Linked DNA regions of Coturnix japonica. The protein of the gene in region 4 purifies or fractionates together with the protein of the main gene of each other region. This does not show direct contact. Links are inferred from orthologs where the notes say so. Each region holds a gene or a part of one and is shown on either strand. Other genes may lie near its edges. The genes, in order: IFT22, IFT27, IFT46, IFT57, TRAF3IP1, IFT20 and IFT74.

Region 1 (4,300 bases), on a different chromosome or scaffold from region 4:
TGCTGAGTGTTGGCCTCTCAAGTCAAAGCTGTCAATCACACCAAGTCCCCTCCAACTCGTACTTCTTGAAGGGAGGGAACAAAAGAAGGCAATGGACTGGCACGTTTAGCCACTAGGTGTTACTGTTGCTCCACAGAAACTCAGAGTAACAAAAGCGACATCTATTAGAGGCATCCTAAACAGTTTTAGCTTAAGAGTTAAAACCACCGGAGCTAAATCTCCTCTCTAGATTCACATACTATGAACCAGAAAATAAGAGTATTGGGATGTGTTGACTTGGAGGGGCCTCTGACTTGGAGACTCTTATCTGCAATTCAAGCAGCAAGCACCACATGTCATGATAGAGCAATCACTGCATCTCTGTTTGAATTCCCACAGACATTTCCAGTGCTAAGAATCATTTTACTAACATATTATTAATAGCCTGCAATTGCTTTGGAAGGAAGAAGGAGGATCTGTCCGCACAGAATCATCTGGAGATCATTTTTGCTTGCTACCAAAACGTTATGGTGAAAAAGCAGCCATATCATAAATGCAAAACATACAGACCATTACCAGGACAGCCTGGAAGCAGTTCAATTACAGATTGAGTTTTCAGCCGATGGATCAGTAACTAACGGAACTTTAACTCCTAAGGCAGATGCTGATTGTAACATCAACATCAAGATGCTTTGAAAACATCACCCTAAGCGGACAGGCAGCTTAATTCCTACTTTCTAAAGCGACCTGAAGCCCTAAAGCACATGAATAGATCTGAAAATCACACCTGTGCTCTCCTTGTTCAGTGGCTGATACAAACACAGGAGGATGTGATCTGATACTTCATCTACAAATCAATCCCTATTGCATTCTGGGCAGCTGCACCAGCAGCCAGCTTTACCCATTTTTAGTCCATTATTTCCTTCTAATTTGCTGCCCACAATCCAGCCCTTTAGATCACATTTCCCTCCATGTACCTGTGGATGTGCCAGCTAATAGAACTGCCTTGATCACTTCCCTCTGGGTCACCCATCCCATTTATTGGGTCTGAAACACGAGAAATACCGCAGCAGCACAGAGCATTAAGGACAGGCTGCCCCATGCACTGTGAATTCAGCCTGACTCACACACGTACCCCCACAAACCAATAACACACAGACAGAACCAGCTCCCAGCCGAGAGCAGAGCAGCCCTGACTCACATTTAGAACCCGTAATAAACATTTATGTTATGGGAACACTTAAATGCAATGTTTGAAAGCTCGTCTGATAGCAGGGCTGTACGTGGGCACCAAACAGCTCCGGAGCGGCACAGCTGTGTGCCAGATGGCAGCTCGGGGCTGCTTTGTTTGATTTAGCTGCCATTTAAAGCACGTTTACAGGGTTCACAGACCACCCGCTCCCCCCTCAACTATTACAACCGCAACACAACAGCGGCAACGCTGAACTGCCCTCATCACCCCGGCCGGCCCTACTTTATACCCAGCCCTTCCACCACGTGACGGCAGCACAGCCAATCGCAGCGCACCCTCCCTCTCCCCCTTCTCTCCCTCCCGTTGCTAGGCCACGCGTGGGCGGCCGCCATGTTGAAGGCCAAGGTGTTGCTGGTGGGGCCCTGCGAGGTGAGGGAGAGCCCTGAGGCCGCTGCTTGTCCTTAGGGCTGCATGTAACCCTTGGGTATCCTCATCGGGGACTGAGACTGACCCTAAAGGGCTGCACTTCCCAGGCGGGGCCTCAGTGGGACGGGGCAGAGGGGCAGGACTGTATGCAGTTATCTCAATGGAGGGCAGGGTGTTGGGAGCAACCCTGTGTTATTCCATTCGTTGTGGCTTTGGTGCATTGAATTCATACGGTTGTCTTTTTATTTTCTTGCATGTATCAGTCTGGAAAATCCGTGTTGGCAAATTTTGTTTCAGAGAGCATAGAGGGAATTGGCAGCTATGTCCCGACACAAGGAGTAAGGTGAGAACAACAGTGTAGAATGAACCGACCTGCAGGAGGTGGTGGATAATATCATGTACCTGCTTGTGTTCACAGGATCCTGGAGTATGAGAAGCCGAACTTAAATGGGAACAGCAAAGGAGCTGGGTGTCGATTTGAGCTGTGGGACTGCAGCGGTGATCAGAAGTAAGCAGGCATTGCTGTTACTTCCTCTGGGTTATTCAGTTCATATTAATCATGTATACACAACGTTCTCATGCATAAGACCCTGAAAGCAATGATCTTTTGGAGATGAGGAATATTCCCACCTCTTCACTCCTGTATGAATATGTATTGCTTTCTATTGTAAAGCATTTAATACTGGGTAACCCTCTCTGTGATGCCAGCTGACTGTGTTAGTTTTGATTAAGGACTGAATGTAACAAGTCCATGGTTCTCAAAATGAAATCAGAGGCAAAGCAGAGGCCCTGCCTTTATCTGTTTGAAATTATTTCATGAATGGATTTCAAATAATGTATTTATATGATGGAGGCCTTTAATTTCCCGGGATTACAGTTCTGAACTGGACAGATTAGTTTTTAGGAATAAGTAAGAAGGTTTATTTGGAATATCATAGATATTGGCGAGATCACTAACATTATTTTCACAAAAAGCTACTGAAATCATAAAGTCATAGAATTGTATGAGTTTGAAGGGACCTTTAATGGCCATCTGTGAACAGGGACACCCACAGCTCCATCATGTGCTCAGAGCTCCATCCAGCCTGACCTTGAGTGTCTTCAGGGATGGAGCATCCACCAAGGTACATTGTTGAGGTGGGGAGAAGAAAACTTTGCCAAGTTTGACTGCATGTTTCCATTTTCCAGCTATCAGTCTTACCATTTTCCATGCTCCTCTTTTTCAAGGTTTGAAACATGCTGGCCAGCTCTTATGAAGGATTCTCATGGCGTAATAATAATCTTCAATCCTGAGCAGCCCAGTCACCTGAAAGAAATCGAAATGTGGTACTCGTGTTTCGTGCAGCAGCAGCCACTGCTCGATAGCCAGTGTCTCCTCGTTGCACATCACAAGCCAGGCAGTGCAGAGGACACAGAAAATCTGTCCTTAGGTGAGAATACAGAATGTTGCTCAGAGTTTTCAAACAAGTTCTTATTATAAGTATTAATATATTAATACATATTTAACATAACACCACTCTAATTTTGATATAATTCAAAACTCTTAGCAATTCAGTAGTAAAATGCAATTCAGTGCTGAATTATTCAGTTATGCCTAATTGAATGTGAGACCAATGCCAATACTTTGAGTCTTAATTATAACATTTGAGGAATTTAAACTAGCAGCAAGTTCTTGTTTGTCAAGCTATGCTGCATTTCGTTTTCACATTATATGTCATTTGGGGTATGAGACATCAGATACTACTGAATTCCAGCTGATGTCTTCAGCAAGAACTGTCCCATGACATTCATCATGAGTGCTGCATTTAGGAACATGCCTAACTATTTTTTTCTTGCATTCAAAGCTTACCCATTGAACAAGCTGAAACTGATACATTCCAACTTAGAAGAAGATCCTGAAGATGTTCGGATGGAATTTATGAAATACTTCAGAAGCATTATAAATGTATTAAATGAGAGCAGAGAGAAGGAAGAAATGTCAATTATTTCATAACACTAGAAGAAAATAAAGAGAAAGGATTGTTTTAACTTTGTAAGCCGTGCTAGCAACATCCTTTGCAACTTTTTGACTCTGGCAAGTCAAAGTTGCAGCCTTTCTCATGACAGCTTTTCCTCTACTGCAACAAACTCACCCTCGTTGGGGACAAGATATGGGTCATGTTGAGTAAGAAGGAATCAAAACCTCAGTGCAGTGCAATTACTTTGGCCTATTCCTGGAGCTCCAATAAGCTGGAAAATAAGTGCTGCATTTTTCAGAGGAGGAAAAGCTGCTTCAAACTTGGATTACTGTTCCCTGTTGTACTGAAATAAGTGGTTTCATAGTTGATTTACTTTCTGTTTTGTTTGGTTTACATTCATCCCTGTTCTTACTGTATTCTGCTGTGGAAGGCATTTTTTGTAATGTAATACTAAGGCAATAAAATTGTCTTTATAATAAAATTGCATCTTTTTTTGCCCTCAAAGGGAAAGTGAATTACATTCTTGTATGTCTTATCAACTTCCTTAATTATTAGTGAGGAAAGCTGTGATAAATTTGTAGTATGTTTCACGCTAATTAGATCCAACGAGAGAAGTTTGCAAAAACTATGGACTCAGATAGCCAAAGAAATGATGAATGAAAACCAGAGGAATATATCTATACTGACACTTTTCTTTTTAACCAGGGGACAATTTACAGTAGAGAGGACCAGGGCAGCATCCCAT
Region 2 (3,500 bases), about 31 Mb from region 4:
TCGAGTTGTGGAACAGAAACAAGCGCAGGAATGGGCTGACAAACACGGCCTGGAATACTGTGAGATGTCAGTAGTGAGTATCTGCTCTTTTCGCCTTCTATAGAAGTGGGAATTTGTGAAGTTATCTTCTCTTTCAGCTGAGGGTAAATGACTGGGGACTCATTTCCACTTATTTGTCCTTTAACTCACCCTCAGTTTTAGTCTCTTTTGTGAAGCTGTTTGAACAGAAATAGTGAAATGCTTAGTTATCTGTCATTTACAATTTTCTTTCTACAGAAGGAGATGAAAAATTTTGAGGCCCCTTTCAACATCCTGGCAAAGTCATTTTACCAGCTGTACAAAGAAAAAGTGGAAATCTTTCATTCACTGGCTTGAGGGCCATGACTGGGATGACTTATCTTCAGAGCTTCTTCTAGTGCCCAGAATCCTATGGACTGGAATACAGAGAGAGGAAAAAAGATGAGCTTTTTGCTTCTTCGCGGTCATCTTCTGGTAATTCAAAATAAACTAGAAATAAGTGAGTGGACAGACATTGTTTTGGAACTGCTACCTTAGCATCACCTTCATGTCTGTTACCTCGGTTCTTTGCTAACTGAAAGTCTGTTAGGTTGGAGAAGGCAGGGAATAGAAGGGGGAAGGCAGAATGGAAATTGCCAGCTTTTTGCCTTGTTAATAGTGCCTTGTCTCATGTCTGAACAAACTTTCTGCTGCTACAAGCAAGGATGTAGAGATTTGAAGGAGGAGATGGGAAGCTGGCAGGATACTTTTTTGCTTAAGCAACCCAGCACTGGTACATACATCGCAGGGCAGGACTGATTCAGCCCTACTACTTGCTAAGCATTTTCAGTTGAAAGTCTGTGGCCTAAAATGGACGCGTAGCGTCTCAGATGTGTGGGGATTGAATTGGATTTAGGTGTGTTTGTGGGAGCACCCACAATTTGAGACCTATTTTAACAGTGTTATTCTTATCAGTTCTAGGATTGATATAGTGATGACTAACATCTCTTTTTAATGACTAGAATTTGGTTTTCTTCAACGAGGCTCTTCCACTGCTGGTCTGTCTTGCATCTATACCACTGTCAATTGGTAACGCAGTGCCCTCTGCTGGCCCTCGGTCACAAAATTTCTGGAGCAGCTTGCTCTGTTGAAGCAAGGACTTCACACAGTCTTAGCCAAATTGGCTTATCTGTAAAATGGAGTCATATGGTGAGAATACCTCTTTTATTCCAGGGGCAAGTCTAAAACGGAAATTGCCATTTCTTCTTCATGCGCTTGTTATTTTATTTGGTTTTATTTCATTTTGTATCTTGTCAGCTGAACTTAGCAACATCATGTTCTCATTAGGCTTAGTTCTCAATCCCTTACTAGAATCAATCATCTTTGTTGTTAAACTTTCCCTGCTTATCCTTGCATTTCAAAGAACAAGCTATTCTGATTTCAGAAGTGGAAACAGGACTCAGGAAATAAAAGACAAACTGGCTAAGTGAATTTGATTCAGCCATGTATAGCTGGAAGTTTTGTATCAAAGGGTAAAGGCATGGACAGAACACTCTGTGTGAGATGTTGACATTGCATATATAAGAATTGCTAATATTTGCTAATGCAGTATGTGAAAACATCCAGTTAAGTACTGCCTTGCAGTTCTAAACTGTAACATTTCCCCTCTTCCAGAACTATTTTAGCCTCCCCTGGGTAAGGAAGGCTAATTTCTGAGGAGAATAAACAGTAAGTAGTTTTTCAGGCAAGCTTTTCAGGAATCTGTGTTTCAATATTTTTATACGTATATTTTATAACCACTTTTATGCCCAGTGCTAGGAATATGACTGCAGATGTTGTAGCAGAGTTTATGAAGCACTTCAAGAATCTGGAATAGCAGCTGGGCTCATTTTACTGGCAACACTATGTTGATGCTGGGAATTAGCTAGGGAGCATGAATACAGTCTAGAGGTTAAGCAGGCACTGAGCCTGCTGGAAAAGAAAATGAATAGGTTGTTGTTTTGTTTTGTTTTGTTTTTACAAATCCACTTGGAAAAAGGTGACAGAACTAGCTGGGGAAAGCTCTTATTTCAAGAAAAGGAGGACTCCTCTGTGGGCTTAGGGTCACTAGACACAACTCACCTTCTTTAGGCTTGGGTTGGCTTTAACTTACATGTGTTGCCTTGTTAATCCTGAGGGTGTGTGTTGATTTACAATAGACTGAATGGAAGTTTGCCTGCACATGCTTGTACCTCTTACTATTAGGAATAACAGTTATTTTGGATGTTGAGCTGATCTAAAGGAGGTAGTTCATTTTCCCCTGCTTCTACTGATGATATGATTGCAACACAAGACTTTTTTTTTTCATCTTGAAAATAGAATACCAGGTGTGTCTGCCACCTGTGATGTGATAGATGGGGGCAGGGAGGTGAATGCCTTAGGAATGGGTGATGAAATGAGTCCTGAACGATCACCTTTAACGGGTGAGTTTAATCTCTCTGCACCAGAAAGACCTCCCATAACTTCAAATAAACAGCTTAAATGCACCAGTAAGATTGGTGAACATTGTTTTATTAAATGAACACAAAAGCTGGAGGATCTCATTAAGGGAGTGCTGGTGGTGATTTGTGATTTATTGGGAAGCTGCTTTTGATAGGTTAGTGAAGAAAAATGCATCCTATGCAGGGGAAGATATATTGCCCAAGTGAGAAAATGTATGATCTAATTAGCTAGCAGTAGGGATTCATCTGGTGCCCCTTTCCTTCTTTCTGCAGGCCAAGACTTGAATTAGAGAAGAGGTTGTGTCAGAAGCACATAGCCCACCTTGCTCTTCATTTCAAGCACTAAAGTAGTCATAATTTAACATCCTTCAAAATACTGTGTTTGTTCATTACCATCTCCATCGTCTGAATGGATTTTGAAAGCATAATATATTGTCTTTTTTAGCTACTAGGCTGTGTAACAGTAGCGTGATGTGGGTGATACTATTTTCCTAGTTCATTTGTGACCGTAGTTATAGAGACCAATAGTGAAGGGTGAGTGGAGACCATGGGAGTCAGATACAAACAGGCTGTGGAAAAAATTTGTTTATGAAGTGAGGATGTTTGTTTGTTGCTTATAGCCTTTGTATCTCCCTGAATTACAGGTGCTGCGGGAGACAGTGGGAGAAAGGCAGAAATCATGTCTGCTGGCCATTGTTGTCTTCTTATAGCTCTCCTACTTTGTCTAGGTATGCAGTGCTGTAGGTGTTACAAGGATAGATAATGCCAGGACAAAAAGAAATGGTTTTAAGTTCAAGGAGGAAAGAATTAAGGTGGATGTCATGGGTAAGTTGTTTACCAAGAGAGTGGTGAGATGCTGGCAGAGGCTGCCCAGAGAGGTAGACGCTTTGTACCTGGAGGTGTTCATGACCAGGTTGGATGGGGCCTTGGGCATCCTGATCTATTATTAGATATGGAGGTTGGTAGCCCTGCATGCAGCAAGGGGGCTGGAGCTTGATGATCCTTGAGGTTCCTTCCAACCCA
Region 3 (4,269 bases), on a different chromosome or scaffold from region 4:
CTGCCGGGAGACGATGGCCTTCCCTGCCTTGGTGCAGACAGCTGCCGCCAACAGCACCTATAGGGACACAGACACAGCATTGAAAGCTCTCAGTCCTCCATTCAGGCTAATGCAACACCTTTTCCTATAGGGCTATGACAAAACCCCAGCAATGCTTTAGGCAAAAACTGACTTATCTGTTAGTTCAGCCCCAGCAGAAAAGTCACAATAAAGACCAGAACACTTTGAAATGTGACATCTCTTCCCAGTGCCACACTTAAACTAAGCCGGGTTAATAAAATATTGACCATTATATTAATTACAGCACGTGGATGGTTCTCCTGGGCATTTCACTGATGTTATCACACCAACAATAGAAAGGCATTAAGGTAACTGCCAATTCACCCTTTCTCATTCTCTCCGCCTCGACTTCGTCCTGAAATACTTCTCTCACAGATTAGTTTCTTAATTAACATAGTGAAGATAAAGCAGTTTCTAAAGGTAAGATCCTTTCACTCCCCAGCCAGTTTTAATCACAGTATCCTAACAATGAGAAGCACCAGAAGTTCTTCAGTGTCTGTACATTTCAAGCATGAACCCCAGCACGGCCAGGTGAGCAGCCAGCAACTGCTGTACATTGAGTGGCCATAGGAACCCTGTAGTCAGGGATATCTTGAAGAAAGCAACAGGCATAAGCCTCCATTTCCCAACTGCTCTTTGAAAGGGCTGTGAGTGCAGCACAGCACAGCACAGCACCGAATGGCACAGCTGATCTCAGCAGCACCTCGGCCTCTGTCACCAAGCAGCAGGTCCCGTTCGGGGACGGAAAGCTCACAGCTCCACGTCACCCACAGCCAACGGGACACAAGTGACCTCCACCCGAGCTGGCAGCTGAGGCAGCAAGAGACGAGGCCTGGTTACAGATGTCAGCCTTAACGCTGCAAGCAGCCTCCACGTTACACATCACGCAGCGCACAGCGGGCAGTGCCCCCCAACCGCCCTGCGGCAGCGCCCGGTAAGCGGAGCTGGAGGCTCCCACAGGCCGCGCCACGTCCGGGCCCGGAGCGCAGCGTCACCCGGCGGGGCAGCACGGCCTGGAGCGGCCCGGGTCCATCGCGGAGCTGCGGAGCGATCCGACAGTGCTCGGGGACGAGGCCAGAGAACGGCAGCGGAGCCGCCGAGCGATGAGCGGCCTGGCCAGGCCCCGCGAGCTCTCCGACCCCGGTCCGGCCGGCAGCGGCCCCACGAGCGGCGGCTGAGCTCTGGGCACAGCCTTACCATGGCGGCGGCTCATGGCCGGGCACACCCTTACCATGGCGGCGGCGCTCGGCTCGGCGCTCGCTCCCTCGCGGCTCCGCGTCCCCTCGGGCAGCCCCACAAGATGGCGGCGCCGAGCCACGTCCCCAGCCGGAAGCGGCGCCGCGCACGACGCGAGGGGCGGGGCGGGGCGGGAGGACCCGGAGCGCGGCCCTGGGGGCGGCCCGCGTCAGTACCGGCCCCGGCCGGCAGGGGGCGACACCCACACGCGGCTGCGGGGCCGGGCCGCGGGCGCCGCTCTAGCCGGGAGAGGGAGAGCGAGACGGGGTCGCCATGGCGACGGAAGGCGGCGTCATGGCGGAGCGGCGGCCGGCCGAGGGGAGCGGGGACGGGCCGGGCCGCGCCATCGCCTCCCCGCGACCCTCCGCACAGCCTCGGCCCGTGGAGAACCAGCCGTACGACGAGAGCCTGGAGCTGCCGGACACCGAGGAGGCGGCGGGGAGCGAGAACCGGCCGCAGGGATCCCGCCGGCCGGGGCCGATCTGGTCGGGAGGAGGCGGCACGGGAGCGCGGCCCAGCGGGGCGGGAGAGCGCGGCAACGACCGGGAGGGAGGAGGAGGCAGCAGCAGCAGCAAGGTACGGGGGGAGAGGGGCGGTACGGCACGGGACGGTACGGCATGGTATGGTACGGTATGGTACGGTACGGTACGGTATGGCACGGTATGGTACGGTACGGTACGGTATGGTACGGTATGGTACGGTATGGTGCGGTATGGTACGGTATGGTACGGTATGGTACGGTATGGTGCGGTATGGTACGGTATGGTACGGTATGGCATGGTATGGTACAATACGGTATGATACGGAACGGTACTGCACGGTACGGTACGGTATGGCTCGGTACAGTACGGTACGATACGGTACGGTACGGTACAGTATGGCACGGTACGGTACAGCACGGTATGGTATGATACGGTACGATACAGTACAGTACGGTACGGCACGGCACGGTACGGTACAGTAAGTAAGGCCGCGTCCCTCCTGCCCTGAAGGAAACAGTGGCCAGGCTGGGACCCTCCACCGCCAGCGAGGACGACGATGATGACGATGATGATGATGATGATGACGATGATGAGGATTCCTCCGAGAGCGACTCTGAGGACTCGGAGGAGCGCGGGGCTTCACTGGAGGGGTGAGCAGCGGAGGGAGCCGGGAACCCGTGGCTTAAAAGGGTTGAACAGAGTTGTGCACGGACAGGAAGCCTCTTACAGTGAGAGTGTCCTGCTTCTGCTTTGGGGCACAGCTGGATCCATGTTCGTGCCTTTGTTCTTGTACAAAAACTGATAGGAAGTAATGTCTGCAAGAATTGCTTTTCCTCTCTTCAGTGACTACAACCTCGCAAACTATGACTACCTGCCGGTATCTCCTGAAATTAAAGAACTCTTTGAATACATAAGGAGGTGAGTTGAAGGAGCTTTCGCCTGCCCTGGGTTCTCCTTTGTCTCAAGGTCTTTGTCTCTGGCAGGAAATGTCAATTGCCCACTATGCAATCCTGTTGTTTTTCTCTCTCAAGATACACTCCGAAAACAATACAGATTGAGCACAAACTGCAGCCTTTTATTCCAGACTTCATTCCTGCTGTTGGAGACATTGATGCCTTCCTAAAGGTACAGTGTTTTCAGATATCCCCATACCTGCTGACACACAGGGTGAAACAGAAGGTGGTTTAGATATGAGCCTGGCAGACTGCAGCCACACTGACCTGGTGGTAGCGAGGTGCCCTTGCCCTGTGCTGCAGATACTGCTGTAGACACCTAGGAGATCACAAATAGCAACACTATGACCTGGCTGGTCACTTTGGTAACATCCCACATAGCACATATGTAATTTGGTGCAAGGGCTGCCTGTTTCTTTGTCCAACACCTTATGCATTTCAGGTACCGCTGTGTTAACAACTCGTATTTTCTGCTCTTTCAAAGCATCACGCTTACAAATTTCTTCTGAATTGAGTCTGAATTTCTAACAACAGGGAGAAGCTGTACAGAATAGTTCCAGCATCCCCTGCTACTCCCATAGAGGATTCCTTCTGTGTTTTACCTGCAGGTCCCACGCCCAGATGGCAAGCCTGATAACCTCGGTCTGCTGGTCTTAGATGAGCCATCAACAAAGCAGTCAGATCCCACAGTACTCTCTCTTTGGCTAACGGAGAATTCCAAACAGCACAACATTACAGTGAGTCATGGGGAGAGAGAAAACATTTACTGCACCCAGGCTAGAATGAAGACATTGCACTTTACTCTTTGTGGGACTATAGCAACACAACACAACTGATAACTTGGCTTTAAAAGCAGAAAAATAACCCTTTTTGACCTATAGCTTTAAACTGAAATGTATCTAAGCCCTGCCTCAGGCAAGTCTCAGTACAGACTTAGGAAAACCACCACAAAGTGCTTCCAGGTTTCTATTTTTGTTTCAGCAGCAGATAAAAGTGAAAAGTGTGGAGAATGCAGAGAAGAACCCCAAAGCCATTGACAACTGGATTGAAAACATCAGTGAACTGCACCGCTGCAAACCTCCTGCCACTGTCCACTACAGCCGGTGAGTCATTATGTCAGCAGAACATCAGGTCAGTGGGTGGCAAAGTCCAGGAGCACTGAGCAGGATGATCTCAGTGTCTCTGAGAGGAATAAGACGTGCTGAGTTTCAGGCCAGTTGTTCTAGCGTGTTTCTTTAGCCTTAGTGCTAAGACTGTCTGTCCCATTCACAGCAATGGCAGTAGGAAGCCATTTCAGCTTCTTGCCTGCAATCCTAATGTTTCTGTTTTTCTTTCTTCCTTTACAGGCCCATGCCTGACATAGAGACCCTCATGCAGGAGTGGTCACCAGAATTTGAGGAGCTCTTGGGAAAGGTATGGCATCCAAGTGTCAGGCACAGCATTACAAATTAAAAATGTTCAGGGCTCAGCATTAAAAATGATCCCACTTGAAATCTAGATTTCTCTTCCTCTTTGACCAGTTTGCTTGCACCCTGTTC
Region 4 (4,255 bases):
TTTCAGGTTAAGTATGAATAATGTGGAACATGAACAGACAGTGGTTGTACCACACATTTAAACAAATTAAATTATTGTCAACCTTCAAAGTCTTTGGTTACCTCAGACTGTCTTAAAAGTGAGGACAAGTAATCAGGCCAAGCAATAAATTGTATTCATGCTGCTAAGACATCTAGGGATTAAGTTTTCATTCATCTTCTCCTTTGGTCTAACTTCTAAAACTTCAAGTGCAAGTCTCCACAAACTCATTTGTAGCCTATTTTGGAATTTGTGTACTAAATGTTGGTAGCAATAAGATACTTTAAAAGTAGAAATTACTTTGCCATACAATTTAAAAACACACCAGAGGGAGGGGATGAAATCAAGAGCAATTTTAAACAAATTGCCATACACTTGAAATCGTTTGCCATCTGAACTCTGTGAAGATTTCTTTTGGATTCAATACATAACGTTATAGTAGTCTATTTGTAATAGGATCACATGTTGTGTGAGCTTCCAGCTGAGGAGCTGGATTTAGCTACTGATTGATGAGACCAAAACAGACAGATAAGGAAACATTTCAACTCAAATGTTAGATTAACAAGCAGTTACTCGCAAAAAAAGAGACCAAATAGAGGCTATTGGTCAAATCTTAATTAATTAATTTAATCTACTGACAGCCCAAACTCACTCTTGCTGGCAAAAGACTAAGATGCATGAAGTGGTATTAGGAATCACCTTGTTCCATTGCTTCAAGCCTAACTTAATTTTGCAGCTCATGAAACGTCAAGTAAAACATTTCTGGACAATATTATATTTTGTGTGCCTCCCTTTATAACTGCCATTTCTATTCGTTTGTTGAAAAATATTGTGTATATGAGGATTCTTCCAAGTGTACTATACCTTTTCCAGCTAAAGCCACTGTATTTCAAGGCTTCTTCGGCTAAACAATCAAGAACATAACAGGCTTGCTCTCCATAACCCGCCTTTAATTTTGAGGGAGGAAAATCCACAGGCCTTCCCTAAAACAAAAAGATATGATGCTGTTTACTGATGGCTATAAATCGATTTCATTTCAAAGCAGTAACCAGATTTTTTTTTTAACTAAAACCCAAGCGTCCATCATGCCAAAAGATTTTACCAATGCTATTTCACATTCTTCTCCACTGGAGCTCCAGTCAGGCAACAGGATTGGAAAACAAAACAACTCAAGGGACAGATGCAGTGCAGAAATCCTAAACATGGTAAGTGATGTTTAGTGAGCAGAAGAATCAAACTGTAAGGGAACTAGATGGTTAAGAACAAAAGTGCCATCCTGGCAAGGTAAGATCAGCTACAGAGGAACCTGGGTACTGAGATTAAACCTATGCTTTTCCTTTTTCTTTTAATCACTGCCTTGTTTGTTGCAGATGTCTCTCCAGAGAACACAAACACAACTTAAAATATTTCCTTTGCACTTAATTCCATTTTTGAACTTGGCATGAGCAGAATGTGAGTACATATTGTGTAAGCTTCTAAGGTAAACTGTGTAAATTATGCCACTATAAATGAACAGCACTTGTAACACTACAAGAAGCAAATCAAGATTAAATCTTGATTTAATCCATTTTACAGACTGTGGAACAAAACTAAATATAATATTCTATGGCCATTTTTGTAGCGTCAAAAAACAAAGTAGTACATACAGACAGTATAAATATCTAATAACTTCTAATTAACATTGTTCAAACGCACAGAGAGGAAAAGCCTGTCCAGTCCTTGGGAAGATAATCAGATAGGACAGGAAACATGTTATTCCTGATATTTATGAAGGTCACGTCCGTGCCTGAAATGCACTTGAAAAAACAGCATGTTCAGCACTTACAAATGATCGCAGTTCCGAGAGTATCTTTGATATTATTGCATTGGGGTCATCATATTCTTGAGGCTGTTCGAAGTGATGCCCAGCTTTAGTGATCAGCCAAGCGGCGAGAGTGCAGAACACGAAGAACTGCTCACCAGGATTAGTGGGCAGTGCAAAATAGTGCCTGTTTAAGAAAGGGGAAATGGTAAGCAATGGTGTTTTGAGCTACTGAGGTAATTACAGAATCACAGAATTATCAAGGTTGGAAAAGACCTAGAAGATCATCTAGTCCAACCATTACCAATACTTCCAGGCTAAATCATATTCCTCAGCACCACATCCAAGCGTTTCTTGAACACTTCCATGGTCGGTGACTCCACCACCTCCCTGGGCAGTGCATTCCAATGCCTGACAACTCTTTCCGAGAAGTAATACTTACTAATTACTTCCTAATTCCTAATTACAGCACAATGAGTGAGCACAGGCTAGGAAAACAGACTCTTAAACAAACTTTCCCCACACTCCCCAGCTACCAGATGGGCAAGAGGTTGGTGTACCTACACTCGTGCACAGCCTGGACCAGGAGCTTCTAAATTCTTCCACTCACTCCCACCTACTGTGCGATCTATACAAACAGCACTATTTGGGATCAAACTAAATAGAATAAGGTGTTCTGCTGCCACACCTAACGCGCCCTGAAGGGCACTTCCACCCCCCCTAGCGACCCCACAACCTCCCCATCCCGCTGGGAGCGCTCGAGGGGCACCTGGAGAGCGGCCGCACGTTGTGTCGCCTCAGCACCTCCTCCTCGTAGCTCAGCAGCTTCAGCTTGTCCAGCAGCTCCTCCATCAGCACGAAAGCGGTGTAGGCCGCACCGGGACCCCGCTCCACCACAGCGCCGTCCTCATCGCGCTCCGCCATCTTGGAACCACACGCCACAGCCCGTAACCGAAGCAACCGGCTCTACCAATCACCGTCTGCCTCTTCCTCCATGCCACCAATGGCGGCTCAGCGCACTCAGGTCAACGGCGAATCAGCGCTCGGAAACTCTCCGCCCATCCCACAGGGTTGGCAGGAGCTGGATTGGCTGCTGCTGTGAGAGAAAGCGCAGGGATTGGTGCTCCTCGCTCTGAGTGTATGTACTGATATACAGTACCAGAGAGCGCAGTGGGGCAGAGGACTTGTAGCCATGGGAGTGCTTTGGAAAGGGAAAGGGCACAGCCCCGAAGAAAAGTTATATAAGCCTGTTAAGCTGTACCTTCGCTCCCTGCCTCCAAGAGGAGCTCCGGGTGCTTTGCTGTTCGTGAACTCTGAAGAGGTAAAACTAAATAGTGCTCAGAGCAACACTCTGGCATGAAAGGGTGAAAGCTGGGGTGTAGAAGCAAAATGTGTGAGGTAAAATGTGACGTTTCAGGTCTGCTTCTTAAGAAAGGTTCCATTGGGAGTATTTCTCACTGGCTGAAGTTGTGTTTGGAGTCTGCGTTTGGTACATTGGCATGCAGTTGGCATTTAAGGCATGTTCTATTGGTGAGCATTAATGCTATTTAATATATTGTCTTAATAATCTTATTTTCCCCTACAGGAACAGGTTCCTGCAAGCCAAAAGGTTGGACGTGCATGGTAGGTGATCTTTATGGCTGGCTCCAAGCCTTTCTGTGCTTACTGCTGATACGGACTTTTTGTGCGTGTGATTCTTCCTTAGTAAAACATGATGTGTTCAGGCATTTCTAGCTTTCTTAAGGCTGCACGTGCTTGGAATGTGCCATTATGAAGTTACTATGAAGTTACCTTAAAAAGCAAAGAAACAATCCTTTTCCTAAGAACTAATAACTTTTGTCTGACAAGACAGGGAATGTTGTAATGTGTGACCACTCCCACATGCTGCTAAGAAGTAAGTATGCTAGGTGAACCCTTTGGCCAGGGTACAGGTAAATTGGAAACAAAATGTCACATTCCAACAAGGTGACAAAGCCTTTTGCTGTTTGTTTCATATGGTGGTCAAAGCAAATGCTGGAAAACCTGATGCATACAGTTTTCCAGTATCTAACTTGTTTTCTCCTTGCGTTGGCAACTGCTGCTAGTTAGTCACTGTAGCTAAAGGTACAAATAAATTAATATATTGAGGTTGTTTTACTCTTGCATAATCTCTTCTTCAGGTTTAAGAATTTGGTGCCCCTCTGGCCCCCTCCACAAAAAGTGGTAATACATAAAATCACTCTTGCTTTGCGGAAGAAGCTACATGCAAAATCCTTGGGATGTAAGATTCACACGCACCATAAATACAATTGCACACACCAGTCAAAACTCTTTGTCAGTATTGGTGTAGGATAGAAGAACTGACCAGCAATCCCAGCCAAACCTGTGCCTTGTCTAAGTTAGAGTGTGTGTAGGTCTCCTTTCTGGAGGGACAGAGGAGTAGGGGAAGCCCTTTAG
Region 5 (3,941 bases), on a different chromosome or scaffold from region 4:
GATTTTCTATTTCTTTTGAGACGCACCTTATATTTCTGCTCTTCTAAATCAAACACCTCTTTGTAACTCTTGCAATAATTTGATCATGCATACTAGGCTTATATAAACAGGTGGTGCTTTTTATCTACTGTAGCAACACTAGATATAAAGCTAGTTAGAATCCAAACCTTTTCCACAGTGCACATCCAGCTTATGTTTCACAGTAAAGACAAAGGGCTAATAATCTTGGCTCGAATGGACAGACATCAGCCTTTGGTTATTACATCTCATCACGACGCTGTACAAAGCTGTACCATCAAACTCAGCCCATTTCACCTCCTCCCTGCCAATCTCAAGCAATTAACAAGGAAGAAGTCTGTCTCATTCAGTTAACTGAAGGGAAATAATAGCAGTGTAAACTATCAGATCATCAGACAAAGATTACCCAGACAAAACCTTCACACAGCTTGTGAATACTGTAGTATTTTGCTGTTCAAGGAGCAGTTTCTTCTCACTCATCACTTCACAGGTTTTTAGATGGATATCTAGAATGTATTTGTATGGGGACCTGGCTCAAACTCTGCTTAGGATCACATTCTATACATCTGTTATTATAGTGGTAACCCAACACAGTATATCTTCTGTAATTAAAAGTAGCTAATGAGTGTCAAACTCTGCCACAAATGAGCTCTGATAATGTATAACACAAATACATATCTCTGTAATGATGTAGATGGAGATGTCATACCTTTTTTAAGCAACACTTCCCAATGGCTTGCAGAAACTCATTTGTTTTCTCAGGTTCGTGCCCAGCCACAACACGTGCTGGTTTTACTGACAGTGGCTCTCCTGTCACCATTACCACAGCATCGATGGCCTTCTGAAGGAAGCTGATTTTGGCATCTTTATCCTAGAAAAACAATTCAGAAATAGCTGTGAGATCCTATAATAACTCCGTACACCACCTCAAGGTTAGGAAACCTCTGACAGGAGGAATCAGCTGCACAACATTCTATTAAGCACATAATCATAGACTCATGGAATCACAGAATCATAAGATGCCTCAGATTGGAAGGGATCTCAAGGATCATCAAGTTCCAACCCCCTGCCACAGGCAGGGCCACCAACCTCCAGATCTGGTACTAGACCAGGTTGCCCAGGGTCCCATCCAACCTGGTTTACATACACATCATATAAAGCTGACAGGAAACACAACTCACTGAGATCCATCCAGCTGCACGCTCTGTCAGTTTGATGCAGTTTACAGATAATTCCCGCCTACGAAATCTGCTTTTTGGATCCACAAATAAAATGGACAGTGGTCTCCAAAAAGAGAATTAACCATGTACTAAGCTACTTTTCACGGAACCAATTATCAGCCCTAGGAAGTGAATAAACCACCCATTTAACTAGCTATAGGCGAGCCAGTAGCTTTAGTTGCTATGTTAAACAATCACCAATGGCTGTAGCTGTTTAACTAGCAACACACAACATGCATTATCTGCCATGAGTAAGTGACGAGTTTTGAGCCTAGCTGGTATTGGGAGAAGGCAGCATGCATTGCTTAGCAAAAGAGGCAAGCACTAGAAGGTGAGCAAACACAGACTTGAGTCACCCTCGCACTTAAGAAAAGCATTTTCACTAATAGCATTACTTTCAGTAATCAGACTTTCATAATGGCTGTAATAATGGTAATAAGACTGTTGTAGAACACGCATAACAAGATGCATTATTAAGCAATAATATCTTCTGTATGCGTGTATAAAGTGCATATATATATATATATGGATCCAGAGAAACACTCAAGCAGTGTTCTGTTACTTGAGGGGAGCTTATAAACAGCAGGGAGACCAGCTTCACACACAGTCTGATAGTGACAGGACAATGGGGAATGGCTTTAAACTAAAAGAGGGGAAATCTAGGTTAGATGTTAGGAGGAAACAGTGAGGCTGCCTGGAGAAGGGCAGTGCTCAAAGCCAGGTTGGACGGGGCACTGGGGCAATGTGTTCTGTGGGAGGTGGCCTATGGCAGGGTTTGGGCTTTGGGGTCCCTTCCAACTCAGAACATTCTGATACACCTCAACATATCCAAAGAAAGCCCACCATACCTCCCACTGTTTCTACACCATGCCTGAATAAAGCAATGGAAGCTGAACACAGGAAAGAATCACACACAGAATCACAGAATTACCCGGGTTGGAAGGGACCTCAAAGACCGCAGGTGCCTTGCAGCACGTCTCAGAGCCCGTTTTTATTCAGGCTGAATAAACAAGGAAGCTTCGTACCCACCTTGACATTATCTGACTTCAATTCAAAATCCGTGTAAAGCCCTTTCATGAAGCCCGTCACTCTAATCACCTTGAGAAGACAAGGAAAAGGATCGAGTTAAGGGCACTCGAAGCTCCTACAGAACAGCATTAGGCGGCACTAGACCGTGGCCTTATCATTAATGATAACTATATTAGAGCAGAAGGCTGCTGCCTTCCAGCACGGCGCGTCACACAACACGAGCCGGGACCCCACGCCCCTCCGTGCCCCCCCCAGGCGGGGTTACACCCCCAGCCGCCAGGGGGCGCCCTGCTCAGGGGGCGCCGACTCTCCGAGCCCCGCCGGCGGGGAGGCCCACCTCGGTGATGACGTCGTGCAGGTATCGGAATGGCGGCTTACTCAGCAGCCGCTCCGTCAAGGGCGGTTTGCGGATCACTCGCCCCAGACTCTCCTGTGTCCGTCGTACCACCGCCTCGTTCATTGCGACGGCGGGGACGGCGCCGCCGCCGGCTCTCAGCGTTCCCAGCCTGCCCCGCGGCGCAACGCGCCTCACTGCGCATGCTCGGAGCCGCAGCACGCGGTTGCTAAGCACCGCGCAGCCATAGCAACAGGCACCGCCGCCATCTTAGGCCCTGCCTACGTTATGTGAATATAACCAGGGTCAACAAGGCCGAGTGTGAGGTGTTGCACTTGGGTCAATGCACTGCAGATATATATATACATATAGGAGAAGTATCTAATCCCATACAACCTGTCAAATGCAGTGGTTGTATTAATAACTATCAAACAGTGAAGCACCGGTGCTCAGTTAATATGTCTTTTGGTGATTATTAATTTTTAGTCATTGTTCTTTAAATAAAGTACAACAGACTGACACACTCGGAAATTAATGAGGTTCCCAGACAGGCTGTGACTACAGGATCCTGTAATCCTAGGAAGAAGAAAAGGTGTTGACAGCTTCTACATCCAAGAGGTCTCAGAGGAAACAGACTGGGAAGAAGCTGCTCTAGGGAAGAGGGTTGTTTATGTTGGAATCATATGGTTGATCTGGATTTCTGCCACCAGCTCTATGAAAGTGTCTGTAATGCCTGAGAATGAATCGTGGGGGTTTAGTTCAGCTTGACCTTTGGCATGCTCAATTTGCTGAAGAGGCAGTGCCCCAAGGAAGCACAGCTCAGTTAATTGAGGAATCAAAAGCAAGGAACTCACTAAGACTCCATGAGTCCCCGTGGTACTAAGGGGAGGCACAGCAATTTAAAAGGTATCCTAACACTGTAACAGATTGCTTGAGGTTTAGTCTGGAGACTCTTCTGCTGGGGAATATACATGCATGTTGACAACAGAAAGCACCCTGTCTGTCTCTTCAAAGTTGTGCCCACTTAAAGTCTGAATTCAGTGGCTGTGTGCCTTTGTGTTACCAGGCAGAAGCAGGAGCCCAAAGCTGCCTTTCACAGGCAGGATTTCTAGCGTGGCTAAGAGCAGTGTTGTGCTCAGGAGAGAAGTCCTGACACCGTGTGCTTGGGAACATCCTCTTTCTCCTATGATTTTCATTGGGTTACACAGGTTATACTCAGATGTCCAAGAATACCTTAGGCAGAGAAACTCTAACTGGGTATTACTGCAGAGTACTTGTTTTGAAACAAGAACTGAAGGTGGACACCCAAACCCACTACCACCTCTATAAAAAGGAGGACC
Region 6 (3,432 bases), on a different chromosome or scaffold from region 4:
CGCCTAAAAAATGTCTGGTCTTTGGAGTATTTGTCTCAGTTAAAAGCCAGCACAATATTGCTCAGAGGAGCAATTCCCCACCAGTAACCCAGCAACAGCAACTAGCAGCTGCTTATTACAGTTGTGTTCTGTAAGAAGTTAATTGCACAAATAAAGCAGCTCCAGAGAAATCCATGTTGCCAGCAACAAAGTTACTTTTTGTCAACTCTAGGTTATATTGTCATACACCGAAGTAAACCAGAAGCAGCAGCAGCAGCGCACTGTCCTACACCTACAACCTCCAGAGAAAACAGCACCATGGCTCAGGGCTGCAGGTTTGCCCTCGGTGTCCCATCCTGCTTCAGACCACAGGAGCCCTTCCTCCAAAATAAAAGCGTGTTTTTAAGGACAGCCAGAGTCCGTAACGAGCTCTGGGTGTGCACGAAGCTTTCCAGTCTCAGCAGCGGCATCTCTGAACACGTGCACTAGTGAAGGTTTCTGTAGTTGCCGCACCTCCGGCACGTCGCTACGTTTCTGACCAAGAAGGACGAAGCAAAAAAACAACCAAAAAGCAAAATGAGAACCCGCTGCACAGCGTGTCCGGGGAGACAAAACGTCACTGAGGTCCCTGATCATCGATCACGTAGGAGGCTCCTGCGATAAACACAGACTGAACCTTTAATTACCCACATTAACACACGCATAAATGTTGCCCCGTTTCCCTTCCGGCCGGAGCGCAGCACAACAACGGCACCGCCGTCAGGAAGCGGCCCCTGTTCAGCACGGCCACGAAAAGGAGCGGGACTAACGGCGCGAGGGGAGAAAACGAGAAGAGACAAAGGAAAAAAGACGCACAAAGCAGAGAAAGCAACAGGACAAAGCGACAACTGCGCCCCGAGCTGAACCGGCGGGGCCCGGACACGCGCTCCGCCCCGCCCCGCTCTTCCCCTGCCCCGTACCGGCTGCGCGGGCCGCTCCGGCCTGTCCGGGCAGCGCCGACCGGGTGTCGCGGGGCCGTCGGGCGGCGCGTCCGTGGCCTCCGCAACGTCCCCGGCCCGAACGCGGCGGCCACACCGAAGTTCCGCGTCCGCAGCCCCGCCCGCGCGGCCCCACGTCACCGAACCGCCCGGCCCTACAGTCCGCTCACCGCCCGGCCCTACAGTCCGCTCACCGCCCGTGGCCGCCGTCCCCCCCGCTGCAGCCCGTCACTTCCTGCGCGCTGCGCCGCACCCTGCAGCGCTTCCTGTGGCTCCGTGTATCCGAGCGGTGCCGGGATGGCGCAGGAGGCGCTGGGCGCGGCGGGGCTGCACTTCGACGAGCTCAACAAGCTGCGCGTCCTCGACCCCGACGTGGCGCAGCAAACGGCGCAGCTCCGCGAGGAGTGCAAGGCCTTCGTGGACAGTGAGTGCGGGGCGGGGCGGGGGGCGCCGCTTCACTCCGCGCAGCGCTGACAGCCACGAACGCGGGACCGTTTTTCTTTCAGAAATAGCGCAATTCCAGAGCACGGTGGGCGGCCTGATCGAGCTCATGGACCAGTTGGCCAGAGCTGTCGAGAGCGAGAAGATGAAGGTACGGTCCGTTGGGGCTGTCCTTGTAGTCACACCTCCTGGCAGGACGCAGCTCATGGTGGGCTCTGAGGACAGGGCTGTCCAACGATTCACGCAGTAAAAACCTCTGTAACTACCTCAGAAACGTGCACTAATACACGTCACCAAGCGCTCTTTATCTTCTCACTTTATTATGGGGTTGGAGATGAATTTTCAGCACAGCTGTGATTACTTTTCCCTTGTTTGTTCTGTGGGAGAAACTCCTGAGCCTCCTGTTGGTAGCAGCCACCAGGGGGTCAGTTTATTTCACACTGTTAGGAATATCCCAGGTTGGAAGGAAGCCTCAGATGCCTCAACCCGCCCAGCCCCTACAGGGACTGTGTTTGCTCCACAGCCCATCCAGCAGGACGATGCCCCCTTTGCTCTTAGCACGGCTGAAAGACTTTCATCGCGACCTGCTGGTAGTGAAAGGGGTTAAAACTCCTTGTACAGATCCATCACAAACGTCTGTTTTGACAGGCCATCGGTGCACGGAATCTGCTGAAGTCTATAGCAAAGCAAAGGGAAGCACAGGAACAGCAGCTGCGGGCTTTAATAGCTGAGAAAAAGATGCAGCTGGAAAGGTGAGCTTCCTATTAAGTGTTTTTGGGGCATGGACGTAATAGTTGGGAAAGAAAGCTGTGTAGATGTGAGAGAAACAGCCACGTACTGAGAAGGATCATTTCTAATGGCTTTGTGGCTATCCGGATAGAGGTGATGTGAGATCATACAACTGTGGAAATTAATAAAACAGTAAGAGTGGCAGGCAGGTGACTTCTAAAGGCTTTTTAGAACTGTCAAGTCTAATTCATGTGACTGTTGCCTTAAAAAGGACACACACGAAGCCCTGAGCTTCGCTCTCAGACTGGTGAGCACTGCACTAAAATATCAGCTGGTAACCTATTTTCTTTGTCTTTCAGATATCGAATAGAATATGAGAGTCTGTGTAAAATTGAAGCGGATCAGAATGAATTCATTGACCAATTTATTTTTCAGAAATAGAAGACTTTAAGATAAAGACCAGCTTGGAAACACGAGCATTCCAGACTCTTTGACTATTTCAGAAATATGCAATTTTTCACTGTGTGCAAATAAATAAGGATGGTTTGTGCAAATAAAAGTGTTTTTTAATGCAGTGTGAGTTACACTACAAGTGGCAATAAGGAGGGCTTTCTAACAGCTGTAAGACTGTTCTGTCCTTTGATTTTTATAAAGGTTTTATACAGTCAGTAGTTCAGATTCAATCTGTAGTTGAATTAATACTGCTGTTCCTCTGTTAATGTCTCTCTCCCTTTTTGAAATGTACAGCTCTTTCAATGAAATCAGGCAATAAACTTTTGTTTGTCACCTACTTGGACATACCAGAATTAGCTTCTTCTGCTTTGTTACTGGGGAGCTCGTAAGTTTGTGACTCCCTGGATCGTCATCATGAAGGACTTCCCTCATATAGCCATTTTAACACTCCTAGCAGCATAACGTGCAAAAGAGAGAAGCAGTGGTTGGTAACTCCTGCCTGGGAATTCCTAAACTGGTCAGAAAAATTGGTGATTAACAGAACGGGGCAGTTGCACACAAAGAGGAACAGAGAATTAAGATTAAACTGTGTTTGAAGTAACATTGCAGTGGAATACTGCAATTTAACCGTAGGACTTCAGACTGATGAGACAAACAACCCTCAGCGTGTAGTGGCACCAGGAACGCATACAGACCATAGATATGAGCATGGCATTTAAAAACTGAATGTCTGTGACCTAAAATCAAGGCTCTTGTTCAAACAGCAATAGATGCATTTTACACCTGTCTTTAGGCAACCACATAAGAAAACGCTGCCCTTTTCAAAGCTTGTGGGAGGTTTAAGTTACACACC
Region 7 (3,500 bases), on a different chromosome or scaffold from region 4:
GTTTTGTTTTTCACTGTGTTTCAGTTTTACATTTAATTTTTTTTTTAATGTTATTTTTTGCAGAAGCAAAACCAGTGAACTCACAGCAGAAATTAACAAGCTGCAGGAAGAAATAAAAATGTACAAGGAAGAGAAATCTGCTTATTTGTCATATGAGAGAAGGTGAGCTCTGTGGCACCTAACGCAAAGTTAACTTTCTCAATCACCAGACTTTGTTCTAGGCTACTATTCAGGCTTCAAAGAACCATTGAATTAGTCTTTTTTATTATTTCATTTGGATTAAATAACGCTTCCTGTTTTAAGTTTGGCTTCTTGCTTTGTATTCAGGGCAGAGGCTTTAGCTGGTGAAATCAAAGAATGGCAAGGTCAGCTCGAAGACTACAACATGGTATGCTTGTATCAGCTTTCTATACTGAAAACACGCTTTGCCCTTCTTTCCTTTGTTTGCTACTGATTTCGCTTTACTTCAACTTCTTTTTTCATTGCTGTTTCTCCTTAAAAGTGTAGTGGATAATGATTCTGAGTTTATTCAGTTACCAGAAGAGGAAAAAAGAAAACAGAAGCTAAGGAGAAAAAAACAAGAAATTTTGATATGTGTAAGCATAAGGTGTTGCTGATGCAATTAGGAAATCAGCGCTGTATGATAATTGAGTTTGTACAGCCGCATTAAATGAGAATTACTTCTTAGAACTGTGTGTAATCTGTTCAGGTTTAAAAGTCAAATCTTTTTGTTTCTAGATAAATACTGTATTTTCACAAATGCTTTGTGAGTTGCTACTTATTTTTCTGTTTCTTTTTTTTGTGTGTGTGTGTATGTACTTATTTTTGCTTTTTAACTAAGTAAGAATTCTGACAGGTTGAAATTCTGTCTATTATCAGGTTGTGGATCTACTTAATACCAATACAGACATAGCAGAAGTGATTCGTGATTACAATTTGGTAAGAATTAAGATATTTGGTATATTTAATCAACGGAATGGCATAGATTAGATGTCAGTGCTTTGAACACCTGACTTGTATAGAAAAGCACAATACTAGTTCAGAATATTTATTGTCTTTTCTAGTTTAAATTGGACATAATACTTGGCAACGTTATGTGTTTGCAGTGAGTTAGCCATGTAAAGTCTGGGCAGATGATAGTGCTTCTGTGAAGATAGTGCACCTGTGTCTTGGATTTGAGAAGGCTGTTTCAAAGTTAAATTGCAAGTGTTGCATTACATTATTTATCTGACTAAAAAGCACAGAATGCTGTGTGTTATGTTTTCTGTCATAAATAACTCCAATCAAGTCTGTGATGTGGACAATGTTTTTCATGATAATGAGATGAATTATCCAAGTATTAAAGCTTTCAAAGCATGTTCCGTTTCTTGAGACTACTTTTCCTGTTACTTTGGTAGCTTGAAAAACCACCTGTGTGTTTCTTGACCATTTTTATTTTCCGTGTTTGACTGAAAAATGAAGTCTCATTGTCTGTGTCACAAAGGGAAGAGAGCTCTGTTACACTTGCATTCTACCTCTGGGCTTAAGCAGTATTGTAGTAGTGGATCCCATAGTAATAGTATGGAAATTGATTTGCTACAGACTTGCTTGCACTTCTTTTTCAAGCACAGAAGGGCAGTGGAAGGCTACAATTTCAGAAACTATTTCTTCAGGACAGCCTCAAACAGCTCTGGAGCAGGAGGCCTCTGCTCCTCCTTTCTCTACTGCATTCTGAGCAGCTTCTTTCTCCATTGCAGAACCTTGAACTTGTGCATACACTATGTTTTCTTCTTATATATTATATTCAAATATATATATTTTTTCTTTTTTCTCTAGTTAAAAGTTCAGAATGACCGAGAAGCTCAGAGTGTGGATAAAATTTTCATGGAAAGACAAACGTAAGTGCACGACTTATATATGCCTGTCTAATACTGCCAACTCTTGACCTGAAAACGGTAAAATGGAGAAGTTACTGAGTTCAGAAATTTGTCAGCAGTGTCATCCATGAAAGTGACGATATCCCAACATTTTAGATCATATATCAGTGTCAAGTTGAAGCTGGAATTTCTGCCTTTAAATTCTTCTGAGTAACTACTGCGGTGATAACTTACCTTGTTATCCAGAAAGAAATAGGTGGCATTGAATTCTCCTGGTGTGTGGAGACCTACGGATTGCAGATTATGGGTGTTGTGTTGTAGCAGACAGGGAAAAGTAAAGCGTAAGTGGGGACTGGAACTGCAATTCCTGTCTGGTACAGTAAGGATGCATATAAAGAAAGTGAGCTGTTTGCAATAGGGATTTGTAAGTCATGAGAACAGTTGGTGATAGGCTGAAAGGGTGATATTTGTAAAATAGCGTTTTGCCATTTATTAAGAAGGCATTTTTCACTAAAGCTGTGGTTTTCAGCAGCTTGTAAATATGTCTGGTTTGTCTGTCAATATATTTCTAAGTGTTAACAAGGTGTGCAGAGACTTGGTATGATCAAGAACTAAGGCATAAAGGTATCAGATAAGTAGTGCTGCTTATCATTTTACTGTATGTGGGCACATTTACGTTGGTCTACTGATTCAGTGTAGATATTTATAGGTATTTGTTTTGCCTGTTAATGCACCGATCTGTTGGATTCCGTCCCCCAGTCTGTGTTCTATTTCAGTGATTTAAACAAAGAGTTTTTTGTTTCTGGCTTCTTCATCTATATGGTGTCAGTAATTACATCAGGCTCACAACCTCCTTTTAAGGACTTGGTCCTCTCAGGCAGTGTGGAGTAACCTCTTTTCCTCCCATAAATCATAGTGCCTTTTCTCAAACGTGAATCATCAGTATTCTATCATGTGTCAAAATATTTGTTGTGACACTAACGTGGACGTGACCAAATTTGTAACCTTTGTGATTTGTGCAGCTGTTCTCTGTCGCAAAATTCTTGAGATGCGAGGCTGCTTATGTTCCTTTTATACTGTATTTAAATAGCATAATATGGAAGGCTGAATAGATTGAAGAGTCAGTTCATTGTCCATTGCGTAAGATATTAGCTCTGCTCAGTTCCATAAGTATCTATGTATTTGTCCTCAATAAAGCCATCTTCCTCAGGTTCAGAAGTGTTAGTTTTGTCAAATATTACTATGGGATCCTCATTGTTTGTATCTGATATCGCAGGAAAAGAATTCATGTCAGCTGAGAACTCCTGTTCAAACATCTCAGGGTCGTTTTCTTCCAGACGACGGTGTCTGTAGCTCATCAAATACTGGTACCATGTTGGGCATTTTATGGCAGTAAAAATTAGGAGTGTAGTGCTTAAGACAAACCCCAGCACTCCCACGAGGAAGGTCCAGCTTTTGCCGAGAACTGGAAATTCTTTTAAAACAGACAGGAAAAAAAAGTTAGTTATATCTTCATGTGTAATCTCTGAAAGAACTCTAGTATGAATTTCTTAGTAGTTAGATTGAGAACACCTAAACAATCACAGGGGGATAACTGATTTATAATAAAGCCTGAAAAAATCACTTGTTTTATGGCTTTGATGA

Evidence for each region.
Region 1: the proteins of IFT57 (region 4) and IFT22 purify together in Homo sapiens (affinity purification with mass spectrometry; 3 studies listed by BioGRID and IntAct, counting the BioPlex papers as one, with this or other methods). This does not show direct contact. The link is inferred for Coturnix japonica from reciprocal best matches to the Homo sapiens genes IFT57 and IFT22.
Region 2: the proteins of IFT57 (region 4) and IFT27 purify together in Homo sapiens (co-immunoprecipitation; 3 studies listed by BioGRID and IntAct, with this or other methods). This does not show direct contact. The link is inferred for Coturnix japonica from reciprocal best matches to the Homo sapiens genes IFT57 and IFT27.
Region 3: the proteins of IFT57 (region 4) and IFT46 purify together in Homo sapiens (affinity purification with mass spectrometry; 3 studies listed by BioGRID and IntAct, counting the BioPlex papers as one, with this or other methods). This does not show direct contact. The link is inferred for Coturnix japonica from reciprocal best matches to the Homo sapiens genes IFT57 and IFT46.
Region 5: the proteins of IFT57 (region 4) and TRAF3IP1 purify together in Homo sapiens (affinity purification with mass spectrometry; 3 studies listed by BioGRID and IntAct, counting the BioPlex papers as one, with this or other methods). This does not show direct contact. The link is inferred for Coturnix japonica from reciprocal best matches to the Homo sapiens genes IFT57 and TRAF3IP1.
Region 6: the proteins of IFT57 (region 4) and IFT20 purify together in Homo sapiens (affinity purification with mass spectrometry; 3 studies listed by BioGRID and IntAct, counting the BioPlex papers as one, with this or other methods). This does not show direct contact. The link is inferred for Coturnix japonica from reciprocal best matches to the Homo sapiens genes IFT57 and IFT20.
Region 7: the proteins of IFT57 (region 4) and IFT74 purify together in Homo sapiens (affinity purification with mass spectrometry; 3 studies listed by BioGRID and IntAct, counting the BioPlex papers as one, with this or other methods). This does not show direct contact. The link is inferred for Coturnix japonica from reciprocal best matches to the Homo sapiens genes IFT57 and IFT74.

Annotation. Positions count from the first base shown.
Region 1 is NC_029534.1:2,514,441-2,518,740, reverse strand, and holds IFT22 (intraflagellar transport protein 22 homolog), read left to right. Parts: upstream 1-1,500; 5' UTR 1,501-1,561; coding exon 1,562-1,600; intron 1,601-1,854; exon of another isoform or gene 1,855-1,860; coding exon 1,861-1,940; intron 1,941-2,015; coding exon 2,016-2,105; intron 2,106-2,429; exon of another isoform or gene 2,430-2,640; coding exon of another isoform or gene 2,641-2,734; exon of another isoform or gene 2,735-2,824; coding exon 2,825-3,027; intron 3,028-3,441; coding exon 3,442-3,590; 3' UTR 3,591-4,073; downstream 4,074-4,300. UniProt on the Homo sapiens protein: Small GTPase-like component of the intraflagellar transport (IFT) complex B.
Region 2 is NC_029516.1:47,150,678-47,154,177, forward strand, and holds part of IFT27 (intraflagellar transport protein 27 homolog), read left to right. Parts: coding exon 1-73; intron 74-276; coding exon 277-375; 3' UTR 376-3,500. UniProt on the Homo sapiens protein: Small GTPase-like component of the intraflagellar transport (IFT) complex B that promotes the exit of the BBSome complex from cilia via its interaction with ARL6. Not involved in entry of the BBSome complex into cilium. Prevents aggregation of GTP-free ARL6.
Region 3 is NC_029539.1:4,769,186-4,773,454, forward strand, and holds the start of IFT46 (intraflagellar transport protein 46 homolog), read left to right. Parts: upstream 1-1,469; 5' UTR 1,470-1,569; coding exon 1,570-1,872; intron 1,873-2,288; coding exon 2,289-2,428; intron 2,429-2,621; coding exon 2,622-2,696; intron 2,697-2,809; coding exon 2,810-2,903; intron 2,904-3,339; coding exon 3,340-3,468; intron 3,469-3,712; coding exon 3,713-3,834; intron 3,835-4,077; coding exon 4,078-4,144; intron 4,145-4,269. Other genes in the region: ARCN1 (coatomer subunit delta), read right to left, coding at 1-57, 1,258-1,260. UniProt on the Homo sapiens protein: Forms part of a complex involved in intraflagellar transport (IFT), the bi-directional movement of particles required for the assembly, maintenance and functioning of primary cilia. May play a role in chondrocyte maturation and skeletogenesis.
Region 4 is NC_029516.1:78,426,430-78,430,684, forward strand, and holds the start of IFT57 (intraflagellar transport protein 57 homolog), read right to left. Parts: upstream 2,801-4,255; 5' UTR 2,744-2,800; coding exon 2,589-2,743; intron 2,007-2,588; coding exon 1,844-2,006; intron 1,002-1,843; coding exon 883-1,001; intron 1-882. UniProt on the Homo sapiens protein: Required for the formation of cilia. Plays an indirect role in sonic hedgehog signaling, cilia being required for all activity of the hedgehog pathway.
Region 5 is NC_029522.1:3,293,141-3,297,081, forward strand, and holds the start of TRAF3IP1 (TRAF3-interacting protein 1), read right to left. Parts: upstream 2,801-3,941; 5' UTR 2,728-2,800; coding exon 2,605-2,727; intron 2,337-2,604; coding exon 2,268-2,336; intron 890-2,267; coding exon 728-889; intron 1-727.
Region 6 is NC_029534.1:8,043,255-8,046,686, reverse strand, and holds IFT20 (intraflagellar transport protein 20 homolog), read left to right. Parts: upstream 1-1,222; 5' UTR 1,223-1,253; coding exon 1,254-1,380; intron 1,381-1,462; coding exon 1,463-1,548; intron 1,549-2,045; coding exon 2,046-2,149; intron 2,150-2,485; coding exon 2,486-2,567; coding exon of another isoform or gene 2,568-2,577; 3' UTR 2,578-2,932; downstream 2,933-3,432. UniProt on the Homo sapiens protein: Part of intraflagellar transport (IFT) particles involved in ciliary process assembly. May play a role in the trafficking of ciliary membrane proteins from the Golgi complex to the cilium.
Region 7 is NC_029547.1:60,476,065-60,479,564, forward strand, and holds part of IFT74 (intraflagellar transport protein 74 homolog), read left to right. Parts: intron 1-63; coding exon 64-162; intron 163-327; coding exon 328-388; intron 389-879; coding exon 880-939; intron 940-1,815; coding exon 1,816-1,877; intron 1,878-2,317; exon of another isoform or gene 2,318-3,004; coding exon of another isoform or gene 3,005-3,330; intron 3,331-3,500. Other genes in the region: LRRC19 (leucine-rich repeat-containing protein 19), read right to left, coding at 3,005-3,330. UniProt on the Homo sapiens protein: Component of the intraflagellar transport (IFT) complex B: together with IFT81, forms a tubulin-binding module that specifically mediates transport of tubulin within the cilium. Binds beta-tubulin via its basic region. Required for ciliogenesis.